Linked DNA regions of Anolis sagrei. The protein of the gene in region 1 interacts with the protein of each later gene in a pairwise test. Links are inferred from orthologs where the notes say so. Each region holds a gene or a part of one and is shown in the gene's direction. Other genes may lie near its edges.

Region 1 (7,714 bases):
TCATCGTCAATTTCGAAAAATCCAACTTGACTCCTTCAAGATGCATCCAATTCATCGGTGCTATCATAGACTCCATCGCAGAAAAGGCCTTCCTACCAGAGGACTGCTTCCAGGCCATCAAATTGGCGATAAACGACATCCGCGCACAAGGGGGAGCCACTGCATGGGCCTTCCAATCCCTGCTCGGGCACATGGCCTCGACAACGTCGGTCATCAGGTTCGCGAGGCTACGGATGTGCCCGCTGCAGCATTGGTTCGTCAGAGCGTTCAAGCCCCAACGCGACAGCCAGAACATCCGTCTGTACCCCCCACACCAGGTCCTGGAGTCCCTCAGGTGGTGGACAACGGAGGAGCACGTCCTTGCAGGCATGGCTTTCAGACAACCGCGCCCATCCCGCTGCCTCACAACGGATGCGTCCACGCAAGGATGGGGGGCTCACTTCCAGAATCTGACAGTGCACGACAGATGGTCTCACGAGGAGGCTGCCTACCACATAAATTACCTCGAGCTCCTAGCCGTCCAGAAGGCCCTGCGTGCTTTCGAGCCCCATATCACCGGGCGCGCTGTACAACTTCTCACGGACAATACAACTGTAAAATGTTACATAAACAAGCAAGGCGGGATGCGCTCCTCCGACCTCCTCGGCTTATCCACAGCAATATGGGAATGGTGCATCCCACGAAGGATACATCTCACGGCAGTGCACCTCCCGGGCGAAGACAATACTCTCGCCGATGCCCTCAGTCGAGCACAGACATCAAATCACGAGTGGCAACTCCATCGAGACGAGTTCCGGTTCCTGTCCCGCCATTGGGGCCAACCAACCCTGGATCTGTTTGCGTCGCCAGTGAACGCACAGTGCGACACGTTTTGTGCCAGACGTCACCCCGGATCGACCCAAGGGTGCATGGGGGACGCATTCATATTCAGCTGGTCACCGGGCCTACTATACGCCTTCCCCCCAATCCCGCTGATTCCCAGGGTGCTGACCAAATTGATCGAGGACAACGCGGATGCGATACTGGTCGCCCCCTGGTGGCCGCGCCAGCACTGGTTCGCTCCCCTCCTCAAAGCTTCGAGAGGCGAATACCTCCATCTACGAGACAGACCGGACCTCCTCTCCATCCAGGAGGGCCGGGTGTATCACCCAGACCTGGTCTCCCTGCGCCTCACAGCGTGGAGAATCCGGGTCCAGCCCCTCTCTCGGAGGCAGTGCAGGACATAATCGCAGCGGCCCAAAAAGCCACGACCAAGAAAGCATATGCATACAAATGGTCACGCTTCCGGGAATACCTCAAGCCTCTGAATGTTAACCCCCGGGAAGCCCCGATGGGGGTCATACTGGACTTTCTAGTGCATCTGTCCAACAAAGGGCTCTCCTTGTCTTCCATCAAATGCTACCTGGCGTCACTATCATGGTACTGGAGACAGACAGGGAGACCATCGTGCTTCCATGACCCCACGATACGGCTCTTCCTTAAGGGGTACTCCAACTTACACCCACCTGTCATGCCTCCTCCCCCAGCGTGGAGTCTAGAACTGGTGCTGTCACAGCTCTCCAAACCACCCTTTGAGCCACTGGCCACATGCGACCTGTCGCATCTCTCATGGAAGACGGCCTTTCTCGTGGCCATTATATCGGCCAGGAGAGTGAGTGAAATCTGTGCTTTGAGAGTTGACGCACCCTACCTACGATTCCACAAAGAGAAGGTGGTCCTCCGACCAGACGTCGCCTTCTTACCAAAGGTTGTTTCTAAGTTTCACCTGTCACAGGACATTTCTCTATTGGCCTTCTTCCAGAATCCTTCTTCTCCTCTGGAGGTTTCCCTGCATTCTCTAGATGTCAGACGGGCTCTAGCGTTCTACACTAGCAGAACCGCCCCCCACAGGAAGTCAGTCAAGCTTTTTCTGAAATACCGCCAGGACTCTCTAGGGCTACCTGTCTCCTCCCAGCGCCTCGCTTCGTGGATCGTCTCGACCATCAGACTTGCTTACCTGCTGGCAAAGAAAGAGCCCCCTCAGCAGATCCACGCCCACTCCACTAGGGCGGTGTCAACCTCGCAAGCTTTCCTGAGGGGTATTCCAATTGACGACATCTGCAAAGCAGCGACATGGTCCAATTCGTCAACATTCGCCTCCCACTACAGGCTAGATGCGATGGCAAGGAAGGATGCAGCCTTCGGCAGAGCGGTGCTGTTTTCCAGTGTCGCATGACTCCCACCTCCGAAGGTTGGTAGCTTGCTATTCACCCATTATGTGCGTTTTTCACAGACTACACGAAGGGGAAATGCGAGTTGCTTACCTGTAACTGCGTTTCCCGAGTGATAGTCTGTGAAATTCGCACATCCCCGCCCGACCTCTCCGCAGTAGTCATGCTTGTTCTATAGCTGCTGATAGCGGCTGCGGAACTGAGTCGAGGTTTCCCGCCTTGGGCATTTATAGTATGGGGAGTTTGGGCGGGGCGTCCGCCAATTAAAAGTTTCTATTTGAAAATTCTAGAAGGTTCCGAACGGCTGCGCATGCGCAGAACAAAACCCATTATGTGCGAATTTCACAGACTATCACACGTGGAAACGCAGTTACACGTAAGCAACTCGCATTTTTTTGATGTTGAGCTGCAACCCGGCTTTTGCGCTTTCTTCTTCCACCTTGATTAGAAGGCTCCTCAGCTCCTCCTCGCTTTCGGCCATCAGAGTGGTGTCATCTGCATATCTGAGGTTGTTAATGTTTCTTCCAGCCATTTTCACCCCAGCTTTGCATTCCTCAAGCCCCGCACATCCTCGCATGATGTGTTCTGCATACAAGTTAAAAAGGTTGGGTGAGAGGATGCAACCTTGCCGTACGCCTTTCCCAATCTGGAACCCGTCTCCTGTTCCGTGGTCAGTTCTGACTGTGGCTACTTGGTCCTTGTCCAGATTCCTCAGGAGAGAGACAAGGGGGCTTGGGATGCCCATCCCACCAAGAACTTGCCACCATTTATTATGATCCACACAGTCAAAGGCTTTAGAGTAGTCAATGAAGCAGAAATAGATGTTTTTCTGAAACTCCCTGCCTTTCTCCATTCTCCAGCGGATATTGGCAATCTGGTCTCTCGTTCCTCTTCCTTTTCTAAACCCAGCTTGAACATCTGGCAACTCTCGCTCCATGTATTGCTGGAGTCTTCCTTGCAGGATCTTGAGCATTCCCTTCCTGGCATGAGAAACAAGAGCTACTGTACGGAAGTTGGCGCAGTCTTTCGCATTTCCCTTTTTTGGTATATATATTAATATTATATTGTTACATATTATTCATACTATATTGTTATTCATATATAATATACTACATATCATTCCATATATTATTTATATATTATTTATTAATATGCATATATATATAATATTCCATATATTATTATTTATATACTATTTATTCATATGTGTATATATTTATATAATATATATTTTCCATATATTATTATTTATATATTCAAACGCATATATATAATATATTCCATATGTTATTAGTTATATATTATTTAGAGGAGAGGAGATTCCATCTGAACATGAGGAAGAACTTCCTGTCTGTGAGAGCTGTTCAGCAGTGGAACTCTCTGCCCTGGAGTGTGGTGGAGGCTCCTTCTTTGGAAGCTTTTAAACAGGGGCTGGATGGCCATCTGTCAGGGGTGATTTGAATGCAATATTCCTGGGGCTGGATGGCCATCTGTCAGGGGTGATTTGAATGCAATATTCCTGGGGCTGGATGGCCATCTGTCAGGGGTGATTTGAATGCAATATTCCTGGGGTTGGGTGGCCATCTGTCAGGGGTGATTTGAATGCAATATTCCTGGGGTTGGATGGCCATCTGTCAGGGGTGATTTGAATGCAATATTCCTGGGGCTGGACGGCCATCTGTCAGGGGTGATTTGAATGCAATATTCCTGGGGCTGGATGGCCATCTGTCAGGGGTGATTTGAATGCAATATTCCTGGGGTTGGATGGCCATCTGTCAGGGGTGATTTGAATGCAATATTCCTGGGGCTGGATGGCCATCTGTCAGGGGTGATTTGAATGCAATATTCCTGGGGTTGGATGGCCATTTGTCAGGGGTGATTTGAATGCAATATTCCTGGGGCTGGATGGCCATCTGTCAGGGGTGATTTGAATGCAATATTCCTGGGGCTGGATGGCCATCTGTCAGGGGTGATTTGAATGCAATATTCCTGGGGCTGGATGGCCATCTGTCAGGGGTGATTTGAATGCAATATTCCTGCTTGGCAGAATGGGGTTGGACTGGATGGCCCAGGAGGTCTCTTCCAACTCTTTGATTCTGTGATTCTATGATTTGTGTGTGTGTATATGTGTGTGTGTGTGTGTGTGTATAAACATATGAATAAACATATTGGAATGACAATATGAGCTCGTTTGAGCCACAACAATAGCAGCTTCTCCCAGAAACCCACTCTTCTAAGACTTCAAGTCCCCGGATGCAGCTGCTGTGTCTGAGTTGGCAGGGGACGAAATGGAACGGAAGTCCTTTGCTCCGTGTTGCGGGAGGGGCGGCTGTCAGCGTGGCACCGCGGGCCGGAACCGGAAGTAGCCGTAGTAATAGCGGAAGCGGGCGGGTCTGAGGAGAAGGAGGAGAGCGCTTTTCTTTCTTTTTTTCCTCGTTGGGCCTTCGGGTCTTCTCTTCCCCGGCCTTCGCCATGCCGGCGCTGCTGGAGCGGCCGAAGCTGAGCTCGGCCATGGCGCGGGCCTTGCACCGGCACGTGATGGTGGAGCGGGAGAGGAAGCGGCAGGGTGAGACCCGGGGAGAGGGGCAGCTAGGCTAGATACACTCCTTCATGGCGCTAGAGGGGACATCCCAGGGACATCCAGGCCAACCCTCAGATAGATAGATAGATAGATAGATTCATGGCATTGGAAGGGACACTTAAAGGCCATCCAGTCCAACCCACAGATAGATAGAGAGAGAAATAGATAGATAGATAGATAGATAGATAGATAGATAGATAGATAGATAGATAGATAGATAGATAGATAGATAGATAGAATTATGGAGTTAGAAGGGACACCCAAAGGCCATCTAGTCCAACCCACAGATAGATAGATAGATAGATAGATAGATAGATAGATAGATAGAGATGCACTTAGAAGGGACACCCAGAGGCCACCCAACCCCAATAGATAGATGATAGATACATTGATTCATCTCTTCATGGCGTTAGAAGGGATATCCAAGGGACATCCAGTCCAACCCCCAGATAGATAGATAGATAGATAGATAGATAGATAGATTCATGAAGTTAGAAGGGACCCGAAAAGCCATCCAGTTCAATCCATAGATAGATAGATAGATAGATAGATAGATAGATAGATAGATAGATAGATAGATTGAATCATGGTGTTAGACGGGACACCCAAAAGACATCCAGTCCTACTCTCAGATAGATAGAGAGCTAGAAAAATAAATCCATGATATTGGAAGGGACACCCAAAGGCCATCCAGTCCAACCCACAGACAGATAAATAGATAGAGAGATAGATGCACTTAGAAGGGACACCCAGAGGCCACCCAACCCCAATAGATAGATGATAGATACATTGATTCATCGCTTCATGGCGTTAGAAGGGATATCCAAGGGACATTGGAGTCCAACGTTCAGATAGATAGATAGATAGATTCATGAAGTTAGAAGGGACCCGAAAAGCCATCCAGTTCAATCCATAGATAGACAGATGGATAGATAGAATCATGGTGTTAGAAGGGACACCCAAAAGACATTCAGTCCAACTCTCAGATAGATAGATAGAAAAATAAATTCATGGCATTGGAAGGGAGACTTAAAGGCCATCCAGTCTAACCCACAGATAGATAGATAGATAGATAGATAGAATTATGGTGTTAGAAGGGACACCCAAAGGCTATCCAGTTCAATCCTCAGATAGATGCATAGATAGATAGATGCATAGAAAGAAAGAAAGAATGAAAGAAAGAGTGAATGAATGAATGAATGAATGAATCATACACTTACAAGGGACACTCAGAGGCCACCCAACCCCAATAGATGATAGATACATCGATTCATTGCTTAATGGCGTTAGAAGGGATATCCAAGGGACATCTTGCCCAACTTTCAGATAGATACATAAATAGGTAGAAAGGCATTGGAAGGGACACTTAAAGGCCATCCAATCCAACCCACAGATAGATAGGTAGATAGATAGGTAGGTAGATAGATAGATAGAATTATGGTGTTATAAGGGACACCCAAAGGCCATCCAGTCCAACCCTCAGTAAAAAAAAAAAGGTTGGGAACCACTGATGTAAGAGTTTAAGTACTGGACTAGAACTCTGGAAGACCAGGGATCAAATGAACCCTCGCTCGGCCATAAAAAGCCCCTGAGTGGCCTTGGGAAAGTGCCTCTCTAAGCCTTAAAGGAAGGCAACAGGAAAACCCTTCAGGATAAATCTTGCAAATAAGACCCTCAGAATCACCTTGAGGCACACAGCAACCACCTTCCTCTGAGTTGAGGTTGACCCTTCCGACTAGCACCAAATTAAAGTTTTGCACTCGACATTGTCCCTGTATTGTTCCAGGAAATCAATTATCTGTGGACCTCTCTTTCTGTCCTGCAGAGGAAGAAGAAGTAGACAAAATGATGGAGCAGAAGATGAAAGAGGAGCAGGAGAGGCGGAAGAAGAAAGAGATGGAGGAGCGCATGTCTCTGGAGGAGACCAAGGAGCAGGTCGGTGGTTGGGACCAGATTCCAATGCCGTGTGCCTTCGGAATCCACAGGGCGTTCATTCCAGGATTCCCCAAAGATGCTAAAGAATGTGCAGGCTCATGTCCCTTTTAAAATTGTGTATAGCAGCAGCACAAGTTGCAGCAAGCCTCACTAACAATCCTCTTCTCCCTTTTGAGTAAATCCTTTCAGTGGAGTTTTCCTATTTCCAACAGACCTCACTACCTCTGAGGATGCTTGCCATAGATGCAGGCAAAACGTCAGGAGAAAATGCCTCTAGAACATAGCCATATAGCCCGAAAAACCTACAACAACCCGGAGTTAAAACAGACATAATAATAATAATAATAATAATAATAATAATAATAGTAATAGTAGTAGTAGTAGTAGTAGTAGTAGTAGTAGAACTACAAAGACTCTGGCACAAACCAGTAAATGTGGTCCCAGTGGTGATGGGCACACTGGGTGCAGTGCCTAAGGACCTTGGCCTGCACTTAAACACAATCAGCGCCGACAAAATTACGACCTGCCAGCAGCAAAAGGCCACCTTACTGGGATCTGCATGAATTATTGGCCGATACAGGACAGAGTCCTAGACACTTGGGAAGTGTCCGATGTGATCCAATACAACAGCCAGCAGAGTGATCTTGTCTGCTGTGGACTCATCTTGTTGTGTTTCTAATAATAATAATTCTTGCCCGCCACTCCCCACAGCTTGGGGAGGTCACAGCACAGTTAAAAACACACAAATCTATATATATAAATCTGTTAGGTTGGTTCAACGGGACAGCAAAACTCTAAAAACCCCCAACAAAACTTAACCAAAATTCCCATGCCCATAACACAACCCACAAGGTACAAACATATCTACTCAAAATGAAAAACAACACAACAACACACTCACAAAACGGCAAAACAACAAAACCCAAAAAAAACTCAACGAAACTTAACCAAAATTCCCATGCCCATAACACAACCCACAAGATACAAA
Region 2 (7,863 bases), on another chromosome or scaffold:
ATACGCTGAAAATCAAGATAGGGTTGATGGCGTAAAACAGTTTTCTCGGCCTGGGTCCTAAATTTTCATTCTCAAGGGTCTTTCTGATGGGTGTTGTCCAACAACTTTGGAGGGTAGTTCATCATCATCATCGTGTCCAAGTAGGATAGCCTTCCAAACAGGGTCTTGGCTGTGGGTCCGTAGGTGAGTGTGGAGACCTATTCTTGGCCCACATATTCTTCCACATTGAGAACATCAGTTTTGAGGGGGAAGGCAGTCCTGGTCAGGGTTGGCTTGACATGCCTTCCTCTTGATGCGTTTCATCCTTTCACTCTCCATTCGTGCCTCTTCGAATTCGACAGTACTATTGGTAACAGCTGACCTTCAGTTAGAATGCTCAAGGGCCAGGGCTTCCCAATTCTTGGTGTCTATGCCACAGTTTTTAAGGCTTTAAGCCCATCTTTAAATCTCTTTTCCTGTCCACCAACTTTCCATTTTCCATTCTTCAGTTGGGAGTAGAGTAACTGCTTTGGGAGATGGTGGGCGGTCATTCGGATAATATGACCAGTCCAACGGAGTTGATGGCAAAGTATCATTGCTTCAGTGCCGGTGGTATTTGCTTCTTTCAGCATGCTGACATTTTCTGCTTGTCTTCCTAAGAAATTTGACGGATTTTTCAGAGGCAATGCTTATGGAATCGTTCCAGGAGTTGAGCGTGACGTCTGTAAATGGTCCACATTTCGCAGCTAAATAACAGGGTTGGGAGGACAATGGCTTTATAAACAAGCACCATGGTCTTGAGGGGTAGTTAGGGATGACTAACAAAGAACTTTCATAACCACTTCAACTTCTTGGGAGCAAGAATGTGTGTGGATCTGGGTCTCAATGGAAAGGGAAAGTTGTCTTTTCAGCTGAGACTGACACATCGCACCAAAGAATAGTTATCGAGTAGACGGAGGCAAGTGTGCATAGGACTGCAGCTTTAGAGGACATTTTGCTCTTGGCATTTTTGATACAGAAATGCTGAAGTATCTGGTGTATTTCCACTGCAGCTGTTACTGTCCTTCTCTATTTGTTTGAAGGTCGAAAGAAACAAAAATGACAGGGACAACCTATGGGGACATCTTAGCTGTTGTTAGCTGCTGTCAGCTTAACTTATGGCAACCCCATCCTCAACAGTCCTGCTTAAGTCTTGCAGACTCAGGACACCAGTGGAATCCTAGTCTTTCCATTTTGAATATGGTATTCCCCCTTTCCTACTGCCTTACCTTACCAAGCATTACAGGTTGAGCATCCTTTGTCTGGAATTTCAAAATCCAAAATACTCCAAAATCTAAAATGGTCCACTGGTATGTTGATGGTTCAACATACACAAACTGTGCTTCATGCATAAAGTTATTATGAATATTGTATATAAAAATTTTATGTATATAACCACCTCATCAGAGGGAGTGATTTTAGCGTCCTAGTCCACCCTGTCTGGAGGACTGATGGGCTCGTTGCCCATCAGAGGCACAAGGGAGCTTCCTGTGGAAGCCCCTCCTCCAACTGGAGGGAAAGCATCACCAGATGCTTCCCTCTTAATATGGGATGCTTCACCAGGACTTTATGATGTCATATGATACTTAAGAAAAATAATTTCATGATTAGACAAGGTATCACATCATATACATACAGATATTCCAAAATATGAAACATTTCTAAGCCAGAGAATTTTTGGATAAGGGAGAGTATTGTTTTTTCTAGTGAGTCATGTCTTCTCATGATATGGCCAAACTATGATGGTCTTAATATAGTCATTTTGGGGAGATTTGCTTTAGGGGCCATTTTTCTTCTTAGTAGTCCACAACATCTGTAGAACTCTTCTCTATTGCCCTGTGGCCAATTGATTGCTTTCCTTCCTATCAGCTTTCTTTACTCTCCGGCATTCACAACTACAGGCAGTCCCTAAGTTACGAACACGACAGGTTCTGTAGGTTTGTTCTTAAGTTCAGCAGCTCAGCGGTTTAAGCTGCTGCACCACTGGGGGCTATATATATATATATATATATATATATATATATATATATAAACATTTCTTGGAGCTCCATGATAAACGTTTCTTGCAAGTTTGAGAACTCCTGCATGTTTACAATTTTCTGTAGGGTTGCATCCACAGTGTTGCCTGTGGCTGAAGGTTGGGCACGCCTGCTGTAGAATGGATGCAGCTTGAGACAACCTGGGCTCCATGCTCTGGCATCCTGGGAGGTGCCGTTTCACCTTCTCTGCCAGAGAGCTTGTGTGCCTCGCCCAAACTACAACCCCCAGGATTCCCTAGCAGTTTTAGGGATGTCGAGCTGCATCCATTCTCCAGTGTAGAAGAACAAGGTGGGTGCCTTGGATGGCTGGCTGCCTTGGGGACTTCCACACAGCCCTATATCCCTGAATATCAAGGCAGAAAACCCCATATTATCTCAGTGTGGATTCAGAGAACTCAGGGCCCTACATCTCAAAGCCAAAAAGGGTGAGGCTCCTTCCACAGAGCTGAATAAAATCCCACATTTTCTGCTTTGAACTGGAATGTATGGCAGTGTAGACTCAGATAACCCAGTTCAGAGCAGATATTGTATGGTTTTCTGCGTTGATAGGTAAAGGTAAAGGTTTTCTCCTGACATTAAGTCCAGTCGTGTCTAACTCTGGGGTAGGTGCTCATCTCCATTTCTCAGCTGAAGAGCAGGCGTTATCCGTATACACCTCCAAGGCCATGTGTCTGGCATGACTGCATGGAGCACCGTTACCTTCTAGTAACCTATTGATCTACTATTGATCTACTCACATTTTCATGTTTTCAAGCTGCTAGGTTGGCAGAAGCTGGGGCTAACAGCGGGAGCTCACGCTGCTCTCCGGATTTGAACCTGCGACCTTTCGGTAGGCAAATTCAGCAGCCCAGCGGTTTAACCCACCATGCCACTGGGGGCTCCCTTGATATTCTGGTTTACATGGCTATGTGAAAGGGCCCCAGTTCAAAGAAGATATTGTGGGATTTTCTGCCTTGATATTCTGGGATATAACGCTGTGTGGAAGGGCCCTTCTTCCACACAGGGAGCCCTTGTGGCGCACCCGGTGGCACAATGGGTTAAACCCTTGTGCCGGCAGGGCTGAAGGTGATAGTATGATAGCTGGGACCGGAAGCTCCGAGCATTATGCACATTCTGAAATGGCAGTTGTGAATAAGGAAATAAGAGCAGCACACTGAGGGCAGGAACGTAATTTGTAGTTGCATTTGGTGGAAAGATAGACAGGAAGGGAGGGTTAGGATAAGGTTTAGGTTGAGGATTAGGGGTTAGGGTAAGGTTTAGGGATAGGGTTAGGGTATGGGTTTAGATTTTACTATTACAGAACTCTTACATTACTTCAATAATATCTGTTAATAATAATGTGACTGGCCTGTCTTACAGTACCTCAGTGCATTCCGTTTTGTGTTGCGCAAACAGCACTCCCAAAGGAGCAAAGCGGTAACAGCATAACGCTTGGAGCTTCCGGACCCAGCAATCATACTATTACCTAACATGACCAAAACCGGGCTGAAGACTGACAGGTCGCAGGTTCGAATCAGGGGCGAGTGCGGATGAGCTCTCTCTGTCAGCTCCAGCTTCCCATATAGGGACATGAGAGAAACCTCCCACAAGGATGGTAAAATATCAAAACATCTGGGCGTCCCCTGGGCAATGTCCTTGCAGGCGGCCAATTTTCTCACACCAGAAGCAACTCGCAGTTTCTCAAGTCGCTCCTGACACTGGAGAGAGAAAAAAAAGGGGGGGGGGAGCCCTTCCACACAGCCCTATATCCTAGAATATCAAGGCTGAAAATCCCACAATATCTGAATGTGGATTTAGGTAACTCAGGGCCCTTCTACCCTCTATCCCAGAACAGGGGTCCTCAAACTAAGGCCCGCGGGCCAGATTCGGCCCTCTAAGGTCATTTACCCGGCAATCGCTCAGGGTCTGAAATGATTTGAAAGCACACAACAGCAACAACAATCCTATCTCATCAGCCAAAATCAGGCCCATAGTTCCCATTGAAATGCTAACAAGTTTATATTTGTTAAAAAAAATTCTTCATTGTAATTATTGTATTGTTTTAAAGTGGGTTTTTTTTTTTACTACAAGTAAGATATATGCATAGGAATTCTTTCATTTTTTCCAAATTATAACCTGGCCCTCCAACAGTTTGAGGCACTGTGACCTGGCCCTTTGTTCAAATAGTTTGAGGACCCCTGTCCCAGCATATCAGAAAATCTCACAATATCTGAGTGTGGATTCAGATAACTCAGTGCCCTTCCACACAGCCCTAGATCCCAGAATATCAAGGCAAAAAATCCCACATTATCTGCTTTGAACTGGGTTGCCTGAGTCCACACTCAGATATTATGGGATTTTCTGCCTTGATATTCTGAGATAGAGGGCTGTGTGGAAGGGCCCAGAGTTATCTGAATCCACACTCAGATATGGTGAGATTTTCTGCCTTGATATTCTGGGATAGAGGGCTGTGTGGAAGGGCCCTTGTTGTCTTTCAGGGTGGTGCTTGGGGCCAGCAGATGCGGCTCCCCAAAGGAGGCGAGAAGGAGGGAAGGGCGCGCGAGCAGCTCCAAAGTGGCAGCGCGCGCCCTTGGGAGTGAGGCGCGCGCCCGCCGGCTTGCCTCCCTTGGCCCATGCTGAGCCCGTGATTGGGCGGTCCGGGCCACGGGAAGCCCCGCCCCTTTCGCCCAGACCGGACCAGCGGGGACTTGGCGAGGCAGGCGCAGCAGAAGCAGCGGCGCTTTTGTCCAGAGGCCGCGAGGGGCGAAAAGAAGAAGAAGGAGGGAGAGAAAAAGGCAGGAAGGAGAGGAACGAGGCGGCGGCGCCTCCCTCCCTCTTTCTTTCTTTCTTTCCTTCCCTCCTTCCTCTGTGTCCCGCCTTCCTTCCCCGTTGCTCCATTGCTGCCACAAGGCTCTGGGCCGGACCCAGCTCGCCCTCCTTCCCTGTCGCCGGCCTTGGGGCCTCCAGGTGAGTCTCTCCCCCTTCTCTCTCTCTCTCAGGATGAAGGAGAAGCCGCAGAAGAAGGCCCAGCCTCGAGGCCTGGGAGGGAGGGAGGCAGGCAGGCAGGGAGGGCTTTTGTTTCCCCCTCCTCCTCCTCCTTGCAGAGGGATTGCTGCACCCCGGGGAGAGTGGGGAGGAGGAGGAGGAGGAGGACTGCAGGAAGCCCACCTTTCTCAGCCATTTTTATGAGAAGGACATGCTTGCCCTTGACTCATTCTCCTGCTCCTTCTGCCACCCCTCTCTTGGTACAAACCGCAGCAACAGGTTGCTGGCAACTTGTGGTTTTTTCTGTTCTTTTGGGGGGTGTTTATTTATAAATGCATGATGGTATTGTATTAAACAGGGACGAGTAAACGCCCCCTTGCTTCTTTGATGCTGCTGCTTCCTTCTGCTCCAGGTTTCCCTCCTCCTTGTCCCTCCTCTTTTCCTTCCCTTTGTGCTGTCACTTCCCAGCTTTCACTGTAAAAGGGGTGATTTGAGTTAAAGGCCCCAATCTTTCTCCCCCACTTTTTTTTTTTGCAAAGGATTTTTTTTTCCTCATCTTGACTTTTTATTAAAAATTGCTTATTGCTGCTAAGGCTCTAAGGCCCCTTCCACACAGCTGAATAAAACCCCACATGTTCTGCTTTGAACTGGACTATATGGCAGTGTGGACACACGGCCCTTCCACACAGCCATAGAACCCAGAATATCAAGGCAGAAAAACCCACAAGATCTGCTTTGAACTGCGTTATCTGAATCCACCCTGTCATATATCCCAGTTCAAAACAGATAATGTAGGGTTTTATTTAGGTGTGTGGAAGGGGCCTAAGATAACACAGTTAAAACCTGATATTGTGGAATTTTCTGCCTTGATATTCTGGGTTCTATGGCTGTGTGGAAGGGCCCTACATCTCAAAGCCAAAAAGGGTTAGGCCCTTTCCGCACAGCTGAAGAAAATCCCACCATATTTCCTTTGTACTGGGATATATGGCAGTGTGGACTCAGATATCCCAGTTCAAAGCAGATATTGTGGGATTTTCTGCCTTAATATTCTGGGTTGAAAGGACCCTCAGTCATTCCTTGACAATTTCAAGGAAAATTGGGGAAAAAAGAAAAAGTTGTTTTTCCCGGCAGAGAAGATCCTATCCATGACTAGAGATGCTTTTTTTGAATGAATCCTTCCTTCAGGCTTGTTACTGCTTGTAAAAATATAACCTGGGGCTACTATTCTTGTGACTTAAGGTGTAGTCAAGGCTACACCTTTCCACACAGCCATATAACCCAGGGCCCTTCTACACAGCCCTATATCCCAGAATATCAAGGCAGAAAATCCCACAAAATCCAAGTGTGGACTTAGATAACCTAGTTCTAAGCAGACATTGTGGGATTTTCTGCCTTGATATTCTGGGATATAGAGTGTGTGGAAGGGCCCTTCCTGATAGGCCCTGTATCGCAGGATCTGATCCCAAGTTTTCTGTTTATCCCAAGTTATCTCTCAGTGTAGACTCATATAGGACCCTTCCACACAGCCCTCTCCTTTATTCCCCTTTTAATTTGGAATTACTTCCAAATCAGGTGAAATTTGTGTCACCCTTGTTAATTACTATTGTCCTGCCTCTATTCTGACAAGGCAATCCAATTGATCCTTACAGTCATTTCCTGAAGCAGAATAAAAATGGTGGCTCTGCAGATATTATTTCAGATCATCTCTAGGGAAGCCAGTCAGCATAGATTTCCTTTTCCTCTTCTATGCCCTGTAATGCTTGTTAAGGTGAAACCAGGATTATATGCTTTCCCAAGGATAGCTGTCCTGTTTATCCATTAAGCAGCCTGGCCAAGTTTTAATTTTACAGTGACCTAGAGTTTCTATTTTGCCTTCTTTGAAACCGATTCATGGTAAGAGGAAAGAAAGGAGGCTGTAAGCAGGAACAGAACAAATGTCAAAGGCCTCATTCTAATGGCGTATTGGATGTCATTCTTGTCTCCTCCTTTCCTTCACCATCACTGCATTTGCAATGCATACACATGAGTATTGATTGTGGATATTTGAAACAAAGAAAACATATGTTGCTGTTCCTTTCTGCCTGTGGAGCTAGGCCCCAATATCTAATTACAAACAAGATAGGTTCTGTAGGTTTGTTCTTAAGTTGAATTTGTATGTAAGTCAGAACAGGTACATTTTAAAGTGTAACTCCAGTGCGCACGCTCTCTCTCTCTCTATGTGTGTGTGTGTGTGTCTATATATATATATGTGAGAGGGTGGGTCAAAAAGTTTTGCTTCCTGTATCATAAAAACGTTATGAATGAACCTATAACAGCAGAAGTCGCTACAGATCATAGCCTGAACTGTCCTCTACACAACACTACTGTTCAACATAGGTGCCACCATCAATTTGTACACATTTGTACCACCGTTTAACCAAGGCATCAAAACCATTTTGGAAAAATTCAGGATTTTGCTTCATGACCCATGATTTTATATCTGTTTTTTAACATTGTTCAAGTCATTGAATCTGAAACCACGTGGGTTGTCTTTCAGAGATCCAAACAGGTAAAAGAAGGGGGCAAATCATCAACATTCTTCAAGCGATGCTGGATTTTCTTAGGTGCACAACTTTCTTTTGCCAGATATTCAATGACAACTCTTTCTTTCAGCTTCAGATTAATGGTTCTAATCAGTTAATCCGAAAAAGAAAAGAGTATTATCAGGAGAATAAGGTTACTACCTCTATCATATCATGCATAGATAGTCCAGTAACTCTGTAAGAAATAAACGTTAGAGCGATGGAGGCATTACTTTTTGACCCACTCTCGTATTTGAAACTTTTGTATCCCAATCTTTTCT

The links.
Region 2: the proteins of GPS2 (region 1) and SESTD1 interact in binary tests that used the Homo sapiens proteins (3 or more experiments, as listed by UniProt). The two-hybrid records come from large-scale screens. The link is inferred for Anolis sagrei from reciprocal best matches to the Homo sapiens genes GPS2 and SESTD1.

Annotation. Positions count from the first base shown.
Region 1 is NC_090026.1:4,565,792-4,573,505, forward strand, and holds the start of GPS2 (G protein pathway suppressor 2), read left to right. Parts: upstream 1-4,586; 5' UTR 4,587-4,682; coding exon 4,683-4,776; intron 4,777-6,616; coding exon 6,617-6,726; intron 6,727-7,714. UniProt on the Homo sapiens protein: Key regulator of inflammation, lipid metabolism and mitochondrion homeostasis that acts by inhibiting the activity of the ubiquitin-conjugating enzyme UBE2N/Ubc13, thereby inhibiting 'Lys-63'-linked ubiquitination.
Region 2 is NC_090021.1:189,122,057-189,129,919, forward strand, and holds the start of SESTD1 (SEC14 domain and spectrin repeat-containing protein 1), read left to right. Parts: upstream 1-4,703; 5' UTR 4,704-5,003; intron 5,004-7,863. UniProt on the Homo sapiens protein: May act as the primary docking protein directing membrane turnover and assembly of the transient receptor potential channels TRPC4 and TRPC5.